Callithrix jacchus: one gene and its partners. The protein of the gene in region 1 purifies or fractionates together with the protein of each later gene. This does not show direct contact. Links are inferred from orthologs where the notes say so. Each region holds a gene or a part of one and is shown on either strand. Other genes may lie near its edges.

Region 1 (3,500 bases):
TGGAATACTTGTGGTTTGGGGCCTGTGGAGAGAGGCCTGGAGGTATGTGTGCGAGAGTGTGCCCCAATCCCTGTGTCCTGAAATTTTGTGTGTGTGTGTTTTTTTTTTAATGTGAACAAGTGTCAGGAATTTATGAATACATCATAGTGCTCTTTATTTTTTCTGTAGCATTCAAAGTATGTTACGAGTATAAGATACTTCAGAGTTCAGAAATAAGGGATCTTGGGTCTTTTAGAGCAATTATTAAATAGTAAGTGAAGCTTCGTTTTCCACTGTGGATTGCCACACATCCAACCATCCAATGTTTACATCTCAACAATCCTTCACAGTTGTCCATTCATAAGAACCCCAACACCTCGGAGCCCCGACACCTGTTGGTGATGAAGGGTGCCCCAGAAAGGATCCTAGACCGTTGCAGCTCTATCCTCCTCCATGGCAAGGAGCAGCCCCTTGATGAGGAGCTGAAAGATGCCTTTCAGAATGCCTACTTGGAGCTGGGGGGCCTCGGAGAACGAGTCTTAGGTACGCAGATAACCTGGTAACAAAGCACCTGGGCATGTTTCTGTCAAGTAACCTAGTTTGGTAGACAGTTAACGAGTGATCCCATGTAACCTCTATGACTTGTCGACCTTCCTGTACATCTTTCTGGGGCAATCCTCCTACTTGTTTATTTGCCCCCTATTATTTTGAAAACAGTAAGTGCTGGAGAAATGTTCAGTGTGTTGGGCTGTGGGAATTGTCCTGACGGTTCACTTCTGACTTGTACCTAGACGTTTGGTCTCACGCTAGTCACTTCTGTTTGTTTGTTTTTTAAAAACAAAAAAAATGGTGGAAGATCTTATCTAACCTTTGTTGCTATGAACATGAACAATAAGCTTAAGTAAATTAAAGTTAATTAGTGTGTCTAAGTTAGACATAATTAGTTCCTGGCTGCCTTGGAAAGTGCTGAATTCACTTCAGCACCTAAGCACGCGGCTCAGAAACCAGACTGACGGTAAACGTTTAGTCTGAATGGCTGCCTATTTTTTCTACCCTGATGGCTACTGAGGCGAAGAAGTTCACTTTACGTTGTCTAATGTATTTGGGGAACTGGCATTTATAATATTTTGTATCGTGATTCTTCCTATTGTTCTTGACTTGGGTAAACCTAACTCATGGTATCTTTAGTATGTGTCTATGCAACCGGAGGACTGCTGTCTTCTCTCTGTCTTCTCTGAAGTACTTTGCACTGCCCTGCCTCCACCACCCCACAGTGGAAGCAGTCTCTCTCGAGTCCACGTGGCATATCATTCTATTTTAAAGATCATTGTAACCTTCATACAACACTGAAAGGAATGCCTTATATTATCTTGATTCTGGCATTGACTATACTAGATGATAAAGCCCTTGGGCAGAATGCCTCTGACCTGTACTTATCCTCAGAAGTAGCTAGAATGATGTCCCATATCGGTGCTCGGTAATATACTTCAGTTACATGACCAAGAGAGCAGAGGTATGGCCTTGATTTTTCCAGAGAAGGTAGCTGAGACAGTTAATCCCATGATTTGCCAAATCCAGATAATTTACTGTTGTTACCAGTGGGCAAGTCTAGAACCCTTAACATCCCGGTGCTCTAAATTAGTATCATCAATTTAGTCTTCTCCACGTGAAACAATTTACAGTTCCTTTGAGGCTTGGTGTGATGGATTCTGTCTTCCGAATTTCTTTTTTCTTTCAGTGACTCTGTATCATTCATAAATGTTAAAGCCCTCACTCTTGTTACAAAAATAGACTTGAAAAATCTTCCAAACTAAACATTCCAGTGAAAGGTAGATGGGCTGAATAGGCTGCCTGCCATCACTGCCTGTAGTATTAAAATTTTCAAAGGCTCCTGTCCTCTTCGCAGGTTTCTGCCACCTCTTCCTGCCAGATGAGCAGTTTCCTGAAGGGTTCCAGTTTGACACCGACGATGTGAATTTCCCTGTCGACAATCTGTGCTTTGTGGGGCTCATCTCCATGATCGACCCTCCGCGGGCGGCCGTTCCCGATGCCGTGGGCAAATGTCGGAGCGCTGGGATCAAGGTGGTGCCGGCGCCTCCGTGGCCTCATCTCTCAGTGCCTTGGGACACCCTCCTCAGTCAGGGTTGCCCTTCGAGGTCCCGGTGGCCGGCTGTTTATCTCACCTGGGGCAGTAATGTCTCGTCTCCAAAGCTTTACTTGCAGTCAGAAAAGACCGAACAGTATTAAAATATGGTGGTGTAAACGCACTAGGAATTTAACATGTTCAGAAATCCCTTGTTTAGAAAAGAAATGTAAGCAAAGTAAAAAGAGCAAAAGACTCAAGTTTTAAAATACTTGCATTATTCTAAATTAACGTATCTTATGCAGTGAACGGCATGTTTTCTGTGTTTAAGTAGCTCAATGTTACTCAAGTGTACTAGTATCCTGTTCTGGGTATTTGATGTTTCTGTTTTTTACTCTCAGGATTTTTTTTTTTTTCTTTTTGAGACAGAGTCTCGCTTTGTTGCCCAGGCTGGAGTGTAGTAGCGCGATCTCAGCTCACCGCAACCTCCACCTCCTGGGTTCAAGCACTTCTCCTGCTCCAGCCTCCTGAGTAGCTGGGATTACAGGCATGAGCCACCAGGCCCAGCGAATTTTTGTATTTTTTAGTAGAGATGGGGTTTCACCATGATGGCTAGGCGGGTCTCAAACTCCTGGACTCAAGCGATCTACCCGCCTCAGCCTCCCAAAGTGCTGGGATTACAGGCATGAGCCACCATGCCCGGCCTCCTCTCAGGATTAATACTGCCCTGAAAAGCTTTGTAGAAGTTACTCCCTCACCACTCCGACTGCTGCTTTTTAAAGTATATTCTAAGTATAATCACGGCATCAAAAAAATAACAGTTTCGAGTTCTTGCCACATGTTGCTTTTCCCCAAATTGGGCCAATTGGGAACGCTAGCCAGCAGCATTCTTTGCTGGTTTAAGTAATTTTTGAGTATTTTTACGTGACTGTAGAAGGAAGAATAGATACTATGTATGCCAGTGATTGTGTACCAAGATAAAACCTGAGGCTTTGTGTTTCCTTTCTGTGCATACATATGTTTATATTTTTGGCTAATCGATGTTCATTAGTTTTATGTTTGCATTCCTTTCCTTTTGATGGTCTAAGCTGAATCATCCTTAGTATTTACTCTTGCCTACTGACGTGGAAGACTTTTTTTAAGGTAATTTACTTGACAGTTGCATTTGACACATTGTCTTGTTTATTATAGGTCATCATGGTCACAGGAGACCATCCCATCACAGCTAAAGCTATTGCCAAAGGTGTGGGCATCATCTCAGAAGGCAATGAGACTGTAGAAGACATTGCTGCCCGCCTCAACATCCCAGTCAACCAGGTGAACCCCAGGTAAGGCAGGAAGCTCAAATCACAGTCTGCTGTGAACGAGCAAATAGTGATCATTTAAAATCTTCGGCATGGTTCTATAGTGGTTTGCGTCTAGGCTTGCTCTGAGTAGG
Region 2 (4,115 bases), on another chromosome or scaffold:
TTGAGGTTCCTGGAGCCCCGCCTTGTCCGCCGGCCTCCCTGAGGTCCTGTCCTCCTTCTGCCCACCAGTCTCTATATGGAGGATAGGGACCACCAGGCTGGGAAGCCCGGAGTCCCCAGGCAACTCCTGGGCCTGGGAAGGTCATAGAATTCATCCTATACTAACCATGATCTTGAAGAGGGCTCTTCCTCACATTCCCAGTCACTCCTCCCCCAGCCCCTACATACGGCCTCGGCACCCTGTCCGCATCCCATTCCCACTCTGTATCAGCTGCCTTCTTCCTCAGCAACCCATCATAGCCACTTTCACATGTAATCTGCCGCCTGTTTCCCGCAGCCAGTCCTGATTGCCTCCTCCGCAGCCCCAGTTGCCTACTGCTTTAGCTGGTGTGGCAGCGGGCTGTGAGGAGTGTCCTGATTCTGTAACCCGGCACCTCCTCCACAGGGCCCTAGACACCTCAAGCCCTCGAGGACTTTTGTAGATCAAAGGCGAAGGGCGTGCAGAATCTTCATCCATCTAACAAATTAATTCTTGAAACCTGCTTCGAATGGGCCTCGCGCGGAACACAGGAGACACTCAGTGTTAAACGAGACCGCTCGCTTAGGCCCTAGCAGGGAGAAGGTGACGGTTCACTCAACACACACTAACTGGGTCCCGCAGGAGGCCAGGCCCCGGCTGGTCGCCAGTTCACCCGGGCGCCCTCGGCCGGCCTGATCTCTTCGCAAAACCCAATTCATGTTTTATTGTTTTGCTTTTTTACCTTTCAAATGCACGGAAATTGGCTGCTAGTAGCTTTACTACAGGAGAAGTCGCTAATCTGCAGTGCAAACTCTGCGCACAGGGGTTTTCTCCGCAATTGTCTAGTGCTGAGCAGGCGGGTCTGAAGCGCCAGACACAATGTATCCGCAGCCCGGGAACCACAGTCGCCGCCGCTACTCTGTATCTGCGCCACCCCGGGCGCCCAGAGTCCGCGCGGGGCCTGGGACTGCTCTCGGGGGATAGGGCCCACGCAGGCTTTGATGGGGGGCCGGGGGCCACTTCGTTCACCAAGGCGAGGCTAGGGTCCAGCGCGGGCCAGTACATCAACTCTCGTGGGATCTAGCAGCACCAAGGCCGAGCAGGAGACCCAGGAGCCGGGTGCGTCTTCCATTAGCGCAGGGACCTCAGGGTCAACGCTCAGCGAATCGGAAGGCCTCCTTCTCCTTCCAGAGCGCTGCCACTTGGGCCGAGCTTTCCAGCAAGGACCCGCGTGCCCCCGCGCACGCACACACGGTGCACACGTCAGGCCTGCGCCTCCCCGTGTCCAAGCGCACGCAGATCCTCCCGCGCGCCCGCACACTCCTGCAGGCTCCCGTGTCCGCTGCGGGGGCCGCGGGGCCGGGAAGGGTAAGAGTGCGGCTCGGGAGCGGGATGGGGACCTGGGCCCGGCCTGGTAGCTTTCCCGGGAGGGGCTTGGGGGCGGAGCGCGCCGGACAGGGCGCGCGAGAGGGAAGGCGGGTCCGCGCCGCCGCCGTCCGCACCGCCCCGCCCTTGGCCCCGCTGCTCGCTCCGCTCGGCTCCGCTCCCTGCCTCCGCGCCGCAGCCCCCGCCGTAGCCGCCGCCGAGCCCGCCGCCACCGCCTCTGAGGTAGGCGCAGCGGAAAAGGGCCCCGGCTCCCTAGCACCTCGGATGGCGGGCCGGGCGCCTGGGGAGCTGAGAGGGAGGCGCTGAGGGAGGGGCGGGCGAGGGCCAGGGCGAGGGGCCCCGGGAGCCCGGCCCAAGAGAGGGAGCGGGAGCGGTCGGCGCGGGCCTAGCTGGACAGCGGAGGGCTGAGAAGGACGCGCAGGGGGGCGCCGAGCGGGCCCGGGCTGGGGAGCGCGCGGCCGAGGGTCCGGAGACGCCTGCAGCTGGCTGCGAGAGGCGGCCCGGGCTTGCAGGCGGAAGGGCAGGGGCGGCCGCGTGGAGGCACGGCGGGCTGCGCGTCTAGGTGACCTTCCCCACCAGCGCCCACGCTCGCCAGGCTAGGCCAGGCCCCGGGGCCGGTGCGGGCCACGCTGCCGCCGTGGTAGTGAGCTCACGTGACAACCGTGGCCCCGCGCCCCCAGGCCCACACGCCTTAGCTGGCCCACGCCCGCAGCAGCTGGCGCCCGGGACCGCCCGCCTGTGCCAGAGCCTTCTGGGACGGAACGCGCTGGCCGAGAGTCGACTTAGGCCGTAGAGGCCGGAGCTCAGGCCTGGGCTGGAGGTTTGGCCTCAAAAAAGGAGGCCTCACGGGGAAGGATGTGGCCTTCTTGGCCTTAGGAGTGAGTTCTGGTTCAGTCGTTCATTCATTCGCCAAATGCGGCGGGGCATTCGGGAAACTGATTCGGAGCCTGACGTTGGAATAGAGGCCCGCAGTCCTGATGATTTGTCCAAGGTCACACAACTGGGAGGACCCCAAACCCAAGTTTTCTCGTCTTTAGAATGGGAGCAGTTGTATCTCTCCTTCGTTGAGTTTTGGGGAAGAATAAAATGAATTAACATGAAACCTTTCGAGCAGTGCTGGTATGGAGAAGGGCTAAGTACAAACGCTGACACCTTTGGGGCTTTTTGGATGAATCTAGCCCATCTCCCACAGATCATTTTGCTACACATGCATTGTGGAAAGGGTTCAATAAATGTAGCTCCTGTTTTTAAGCATTCTTACACTATTATTAACAGGCATTTGTATACCAGGTATTGAGTAACTTTAGGATAATTTATGAAAAACGTTGTAAGTCTACAAACGGACATTTTCAAGCTCGAGCAGTAAGTTTGCATGTGCAGACCTTGAATGTAGGAGCAGACCCTGGTTTGAAGGTTCGTTCCGCCTGTGGCCCCTGTCCCCTTGACTAGCCTTCCCCCTCTCCTGGGGAGGTAGGTTAAAGGGCGCCTCCATTTCCTAAATTCCTCTTCTGTTGACAAGGCCAGGGCAGACTGCCGAGGGCCTGCCTTCATTCTGCCCACGCCAGCTCTGGACCAACTGAGCTCCTAAGGGTCAGACTGAGACCCTGTGCTACTTTGTCTTCAGTGACTGGGCTGGTGCTACCTGGCACAGAGTAGGTGCTTGAGAAGGGTCTGGGGCGGGGATAAATGCACTCGTGTGTCAGAATCTACCCACCCTTATTGACAGAGTTTTACTATTCCAGTAGCAGGAACATCGTAGGTGCTCATTAGGTATATGTGGAATTATTGAAGGGGCATATAAAGGGCTGCAGGCCCAGACCATAGTCCTTTGATCCTGGCTTTTATTTTTTTATTTTTTATTTTTGGAGACAGGGTCTTGCTCTGTTGCTGGAGTACAGTGGCACCATATCAGCTCATGGCAGCTTCTGCCTCCTGGGCTCAAGCAATCCTCCCACCTCAGCCTCCCAGAGTATCTGGGATCCCAGGCACATACCACTAGGCCTGGTTAATTTTTGTATTTTTAGTAGAGATGGGGTTCTGTCATGTTGGCCAGGCTGATCACAAACTCCTGGCCTCAAGCAATCCACCTGCCTCAGCCTCCCAAAGTGCTGGCACTACAGGTGTGAGCCACCATGACCAGCCCTGGACATCCTTTTGAGGGACACAGACATCTCACTTGCAGAAAACAACCTCACCTAGCAGAGAGTCACAAATATTTAAAGAATTGTAACAATCTTGAAATAAGTGATTTAAATACATCGTCTTCCTTTGAGGGAAAGTTGTTGAACTGGTGTTTCTGGGCTTGCAGGGAGGGTGAATGGGGTTCTGCAGAAGGTGTTGGGGCTGTTACTCCTTCCCTCATGGTGGGTGGATCCATCATGGCTTGTGCTGGAGTTGTCCTGAGTATGGTGCCTGCCTCAGGCTAGTGGGGACTGCTCACTGTTGATTAGTTTTATTTCTGCTATTCTAGAGTCAGGCTGTAGGCAGGGGTTATTTGTAGCACAGAAAGCGGGACCATACAGGGATGAGGTGCCTATAGACCCCTGCCCCTGCTGAACACTAGGTGGATGTGGACAGTGAACTCCATGCTGGGGTAGTGAAGGGCATCCACTCTCCACCTTTACCAGGAAGATGCTCCGGAAGCACCGAAGTCCACTTTGCCCTTGCTGGAATTTCTCCTGGTGCAGTGTCTTCGGTGGTAGTGACTGGGA
Region 3 (3,976 bases), on another chromosome or scaffold:
TGCTTACTCCATGAAAAACTGCTTTATATGTAAAATAACTCCTTCCATCTCACAAGGTGGTGGTATTATTCCCCATTTTACAAAGAGAAAACAAACACAGAAATTAATTGCCCAAGGTCACCAGAGGGTAAAAGACAGAGCCAGGTCCAAACCCAGAAGTCAGACTCCAAACAACGTTTTTAATGGTTCTGTCATGCTACTTCTCATGCAAAAGATCGTCTCAATCATTCATTTTGCAGATGAGGAAAATAAAGCCCATTTAGTTTAAGGCATTTGTCCAAAGTCACACAGCTAGTTAGTGACTAGAAACCACATGCCCTGGCTACCACTGCCAAGCCATAAGAAATACTTTCAAACCAATGCTGGGGTAACATAAAAATTATACATGTGACTTTTCAAAAGTGTTGTGAAAATAGGGGGGAAAAAACACCAAACCTGTAAGGGAACATAACTCAACAGTAGGTAAGACAACGGGTGATTCGTTTTTTTTTAAAAATCCCTTTCGTCAATCCTGACAGCATTTCAATGTTCTAAAACGTGCTTACGTTATAACTGGCAAATACATGCGACAGTTTTGTGGAGACTAAAAACAGCGGTTGAAAAAAGACAGCAGAAGAATATTCAATCATTCAACTAATGCCCTTGCAGTAAAGGGATTTCAACTACGTGTCTATAAAAAGCATACTACTCCAGCGGTTCTGGAGGAGGAGAGAGAGGTAATTCATATTACAAATTAAAAGTTAAAATTTATAATTAAGTAACCTAATAAGCACAAAAACGTTGTTCACATTTGACTTTATAGATTTGGGATGGAAGGAAAATGCCAGGTTTCCTGCAACCACCCACTTTAATCCTTTCACTGCCAGTTTGAAAAGGAAAAACACTAGCTAATACAAGCTGTCTGGGAATCATCAGAAACAAGATGATAAATCGCTCTCAAAACGATCTAACATTTTATTCCTTAAGATAGAGGTATCAGCGTATTTTTAAAGTGTGTCTTCCAGTAAGCTGCAGAATCTCCCGTTGTAATTCAAAAATACTATACGTTCACACTGGGATTACTGGAACTGCAAGAGCTGAGCTCCCGACTTGAATGTGGTAGTAAGCACAAATATGGTTTTGAGGGACCCGAGCCAGGGAGGGGCAGTGATCTGCAAGGCTAATTCCACCCAAGAAGATTTTACGATCGCTCTTGTTGAGGGTAAGGTGCTGTGAAGCCACAAAGATGCGACAGAATGGATCCCGATTCTCCTGGAACTTCGGATCAAGAAAATAAGAGGGGCGTGAGCCCAGAAGTGCGACGCAGGAGATCCGCGGAAAGGTGACAGACCGAGTGGCACCAGACTCAGAAAGTTTGGGAGTTAGGGAGCCTGAAATCGCCGCAGGAGTAGTGAGAGGGGAAGTGACAGTCCCTCCACAAGGACACAGGAAACGGGGATCCAGGGCAGTATTCCCCACTGAGGGCTGGGTCCCCGGGCGGGGGCCGGCGGCAGCGAAAGGGAGACGCGGCTCCGGGACCACCCCAGTCCCCTCAGGAGTTCTGCTCGGAGGTCTGGGATGCCCTAGACCAGGCCTTACCTCGGGAGCGGAGGATCCTGAAGGCAGAGAAACGGCCGAGGATGCCAATCGCCCGGCAGGCCACCATGTTGAGCTGAAGAGGACAGCTGTGGAGAGCGCTTCCAGCGGGTTCGGAAGAGCGGGGGACTTTTCCTCGGGTAGCCGGGGCGTCCAGGCGTCCACCGTGCTGCCTGACTAAAACCCAGATGCCGAGTGATCGCTGGCCCCTTCGCCCTGCCCTCGCTTCTGGCCAACGGGGCGGAAAGGTCGCTTTCTCCAGGGGAGGACGGGGCCCTGGAGAGGAGGGGGCGGAGTGCCAGGTTTTCCATTCAGGCGGCCGGAGGGCAGCCCGCGGGGCCAGCCGTGCCCGCCGGCGGGGTGAGGGGTCCTTTCCGGGCAGTACCCGCCCTTTGGTCCCGCAGAGCCTAGGCACTTGGATCTGAACCTTGCTCAGGGTAGGAGGTCGCGCGGACGTCAGGTAAGGTGAGATGGCGAGGGCTCAGCCCTCCGCCACGGCTTTCCCACAGGCGAGAGCCCACTTCCTTCCCCGCAAGTGTCGCGGGTGCCCCGGGCCGCCTCTCCTCCCTGGGAGAGTCGGACTTGAGGGAGCGGAAGGAAGCTCCTCGACAAGGTCGGCAGTGCCAGCTGCAGTTAGGACAGTGACTGGGACTAGCGTTGCAGCTGAAGCTCGGGAGAGTGGTGTCACCTGCGTCCTAATTTATCATCGCGAGTTAACGAAGTCTGCGTGTGTTTGGGTGTGTGTCGGCCTTAATTTAACCCTGGTCTTTGTTAGAGTGTGTGTTTCACCTGCTTCGCCTGTAGCCAAGTTGGCTGCTCTAGAGATGTGGACGGCGCCGCGGGTTTGCACTATTTCTGCTATAAAGAATGAGACAAGGTTAGGTGACCTTTTGGAGCTTGAGTGTGGGAGGAGCGGAGACAATCCTCTCTCCCTCGGTAATCCTGGTAATGCACTGCTCTGGGGGAGTTTCCGGTCTGGATGATTATCTGGTCGTTCACACCACCACTCACTTTAGCTGTGAAGAAACTGTACGAAGCATGGCCACTGTACGAAGCCTAAAAATCAGAGGGAGTGATTTTACCAGTGGTAGAAATAAGACTGGAGCCTAAGTCTACTAACTCCTAGTGAAGAGCTCTTCGTTGCATGATAGCTGTTTTTGTGCTGGAAAGATGGGCTGGAGTCCTGAATAGAGTGATTCGTTTCAAAAGGAAGTCACATGGAGCGCTCTGGGCACCTTCGTACCTTTTTGTTTAATCTTCACTTTCCCCACATTATTATCGTTTGCATTTTCTAGATGAAGTTTGGGGAGCTCCGATTATATACATTTTCGGGTCTGTCACAGAGCTAGAATTCAGGCATAAGTCTGAGTCTCACTACTACTCTGCAAGACAGGAAACAAGGGGCAGGGAAGTTAAGACTGAAATGAGGAGTATAGAAACAAGTAGAGAGGTTTCTGTTTAAAGCTCAAGTTACATAGTGAGTGTTAATCATTGTGAGCACTTTAAGCAGAAACTGGATGATCTGACCACTTCTGAATAAATTGCAAAACGAATTCTTGATAATCTTACAAGGTTTTTATAGTTCAAACCCTGCCTCCTGCCCATCTAATGCTTTCTTCTTTAACACCTAACTGCTTGTAAACACTTACTATTTAGGTCGGAAGTGGTCATTTTTTTGTTGTTAAAGGTCTAGACAGTAAATAGTTCTGTTATGTATTGTTTCTTTTGCTTTCTTTACAACTTTTTTTTTTTGAGACGGAGTTTCACTCTTGTTGCCCAGGCTGGGAGTGCAATGGCGCCATCTTGGCCCACTGCAACCTCTGCCTCCTGGGTTCAAGCGAATCTCCTGCCTCAGCCTCCCAAGTAGCTGGGATTACAAGCGCATGCCACCACACTGAGCTAATTTTTTGTGTTTTTAGTAGAGATGGGTTTCACCATGTTGGTCAGACTGGTCTCAAACTCCTGACCTCAGGTGATCCAGCCACTTCTGCCTCCCAAAGTGCTGGGATTACACACGTAAGCCACACCATACCTGGCCTTACAACTCTAAAAATGTGAAAAACTAAAAAAAAAAAAAAAGAAAGTGAAAATATTTTTAGCTAGAGTGCCATATGTTATAGCTTGCCTATCTCTGATTTAGATCACTCATTTGGCTCCAGTTTTTTTTTTTCCTCCCTGTTCTCTCTCCACAAAACTAAATTCCATCAGGCCAAAAATATTATGATGTTGCTTTGGTCCCCAAGCTCTTTAGTCCAATGGCTTATCTAGAGGGAAACAGTATGTTGGTATCACCACCCCATTTGTAATAGCAAACACAGGTATACTCCTGACTGTATCAGGCACTGATTTAAGTGGTGTGTGTGTGTGTGTGTGTGTGTGTGTGTGTGTTTCTGTCCTATGT

The links. Proteins that work in one complex are often made in the same cells at the same time.
Region 2: the proteins of ATP1A1 (region 1) and VDAC1 fractionate together in Homo sapiens (co-fractionation; 3 studies listed by BioGRID, with this or other methods). This does not show direct contact. The link is inferred for Callithrix jacchus from reciprocal best matches to the Homo sapiens genes ATP1A1 and VDAC1.
Region 3: the proteins of ATP1A1 (region 1) and HADHB fractionate together in Homo sapiens (co-fractionation; 3 studies listed by BioGRID, with this or other methods). This does not show direct contact. The link is inferred for Callithrix jacchus from reciprocal best matches to the Homo sapiens genes ATP1A1 and HADHB.

What each region holds. Positions count from the first base shown.
Region 1 is NC_133508.1:154,398,555-154,402,054, forward strand, and holds part of ATP1A1 (sodium/potassium-transporting ATPase subunit alpha-1), read left to right. Parts: intron 1-329; coding exon 330-522; intron 523-1,885; coding exon 1,886-2,061; exon of another isoform or gene 2,062-2,609; intron 2,610-2,745; exon of another isoform or gene 2,746-3,253; coding exon 3,254-3,390; intron 3,391-3,500. UniProt on the Homo sapiens protein: This is the catalytic component of the active enzyme, which catalyzes the hydrolysis of ATP coupled with the exchange of sodium and potassium ions across the plasma membrane.
Region 2 is NC_133503.1:74,318,809-74,322,923, forward strand, and holds the start of VDAC1 (non-selective voltage-gated ion channel VDAC1), read left to right. Parts: upstream 1-1,315; 5' UTR 1,316-1,410; coding exon 1,411-1,626; intron 1,627-4,115. UniProt on the Homo sapiens protein: Non-selective voltage-gated ion channel that mediates the transport of anions and cations through the mitochondrion outer membrane and plasma membrane.
Region 3 is NC_133515.1:89,122,605-89,126,580, forward strand, and holds the start of HADHB (trifunctional enzyme subunit beta, mitochondrial), read left to right. Parts: upstream 1-1,176; 5' UTR 1,177-1,578; coding exon of another isoform or gene 1,579-1,645; 5' UTR 1,646-1,823; intron 1,824-1,945; exon of another isoform or gene 1,946-2,312; intron 2,313-3,976. Other genes in the region: HADHA (trifunctional enzyme subunit alpha, mitochondrial), read right to left, coding at 1,579-1,645. UniProt on the Homo sapiens protein: Mitochondrial trifunctional enzyme catalyzes the last three of the four reactions of the mitochondrial beta-oxidation pathway.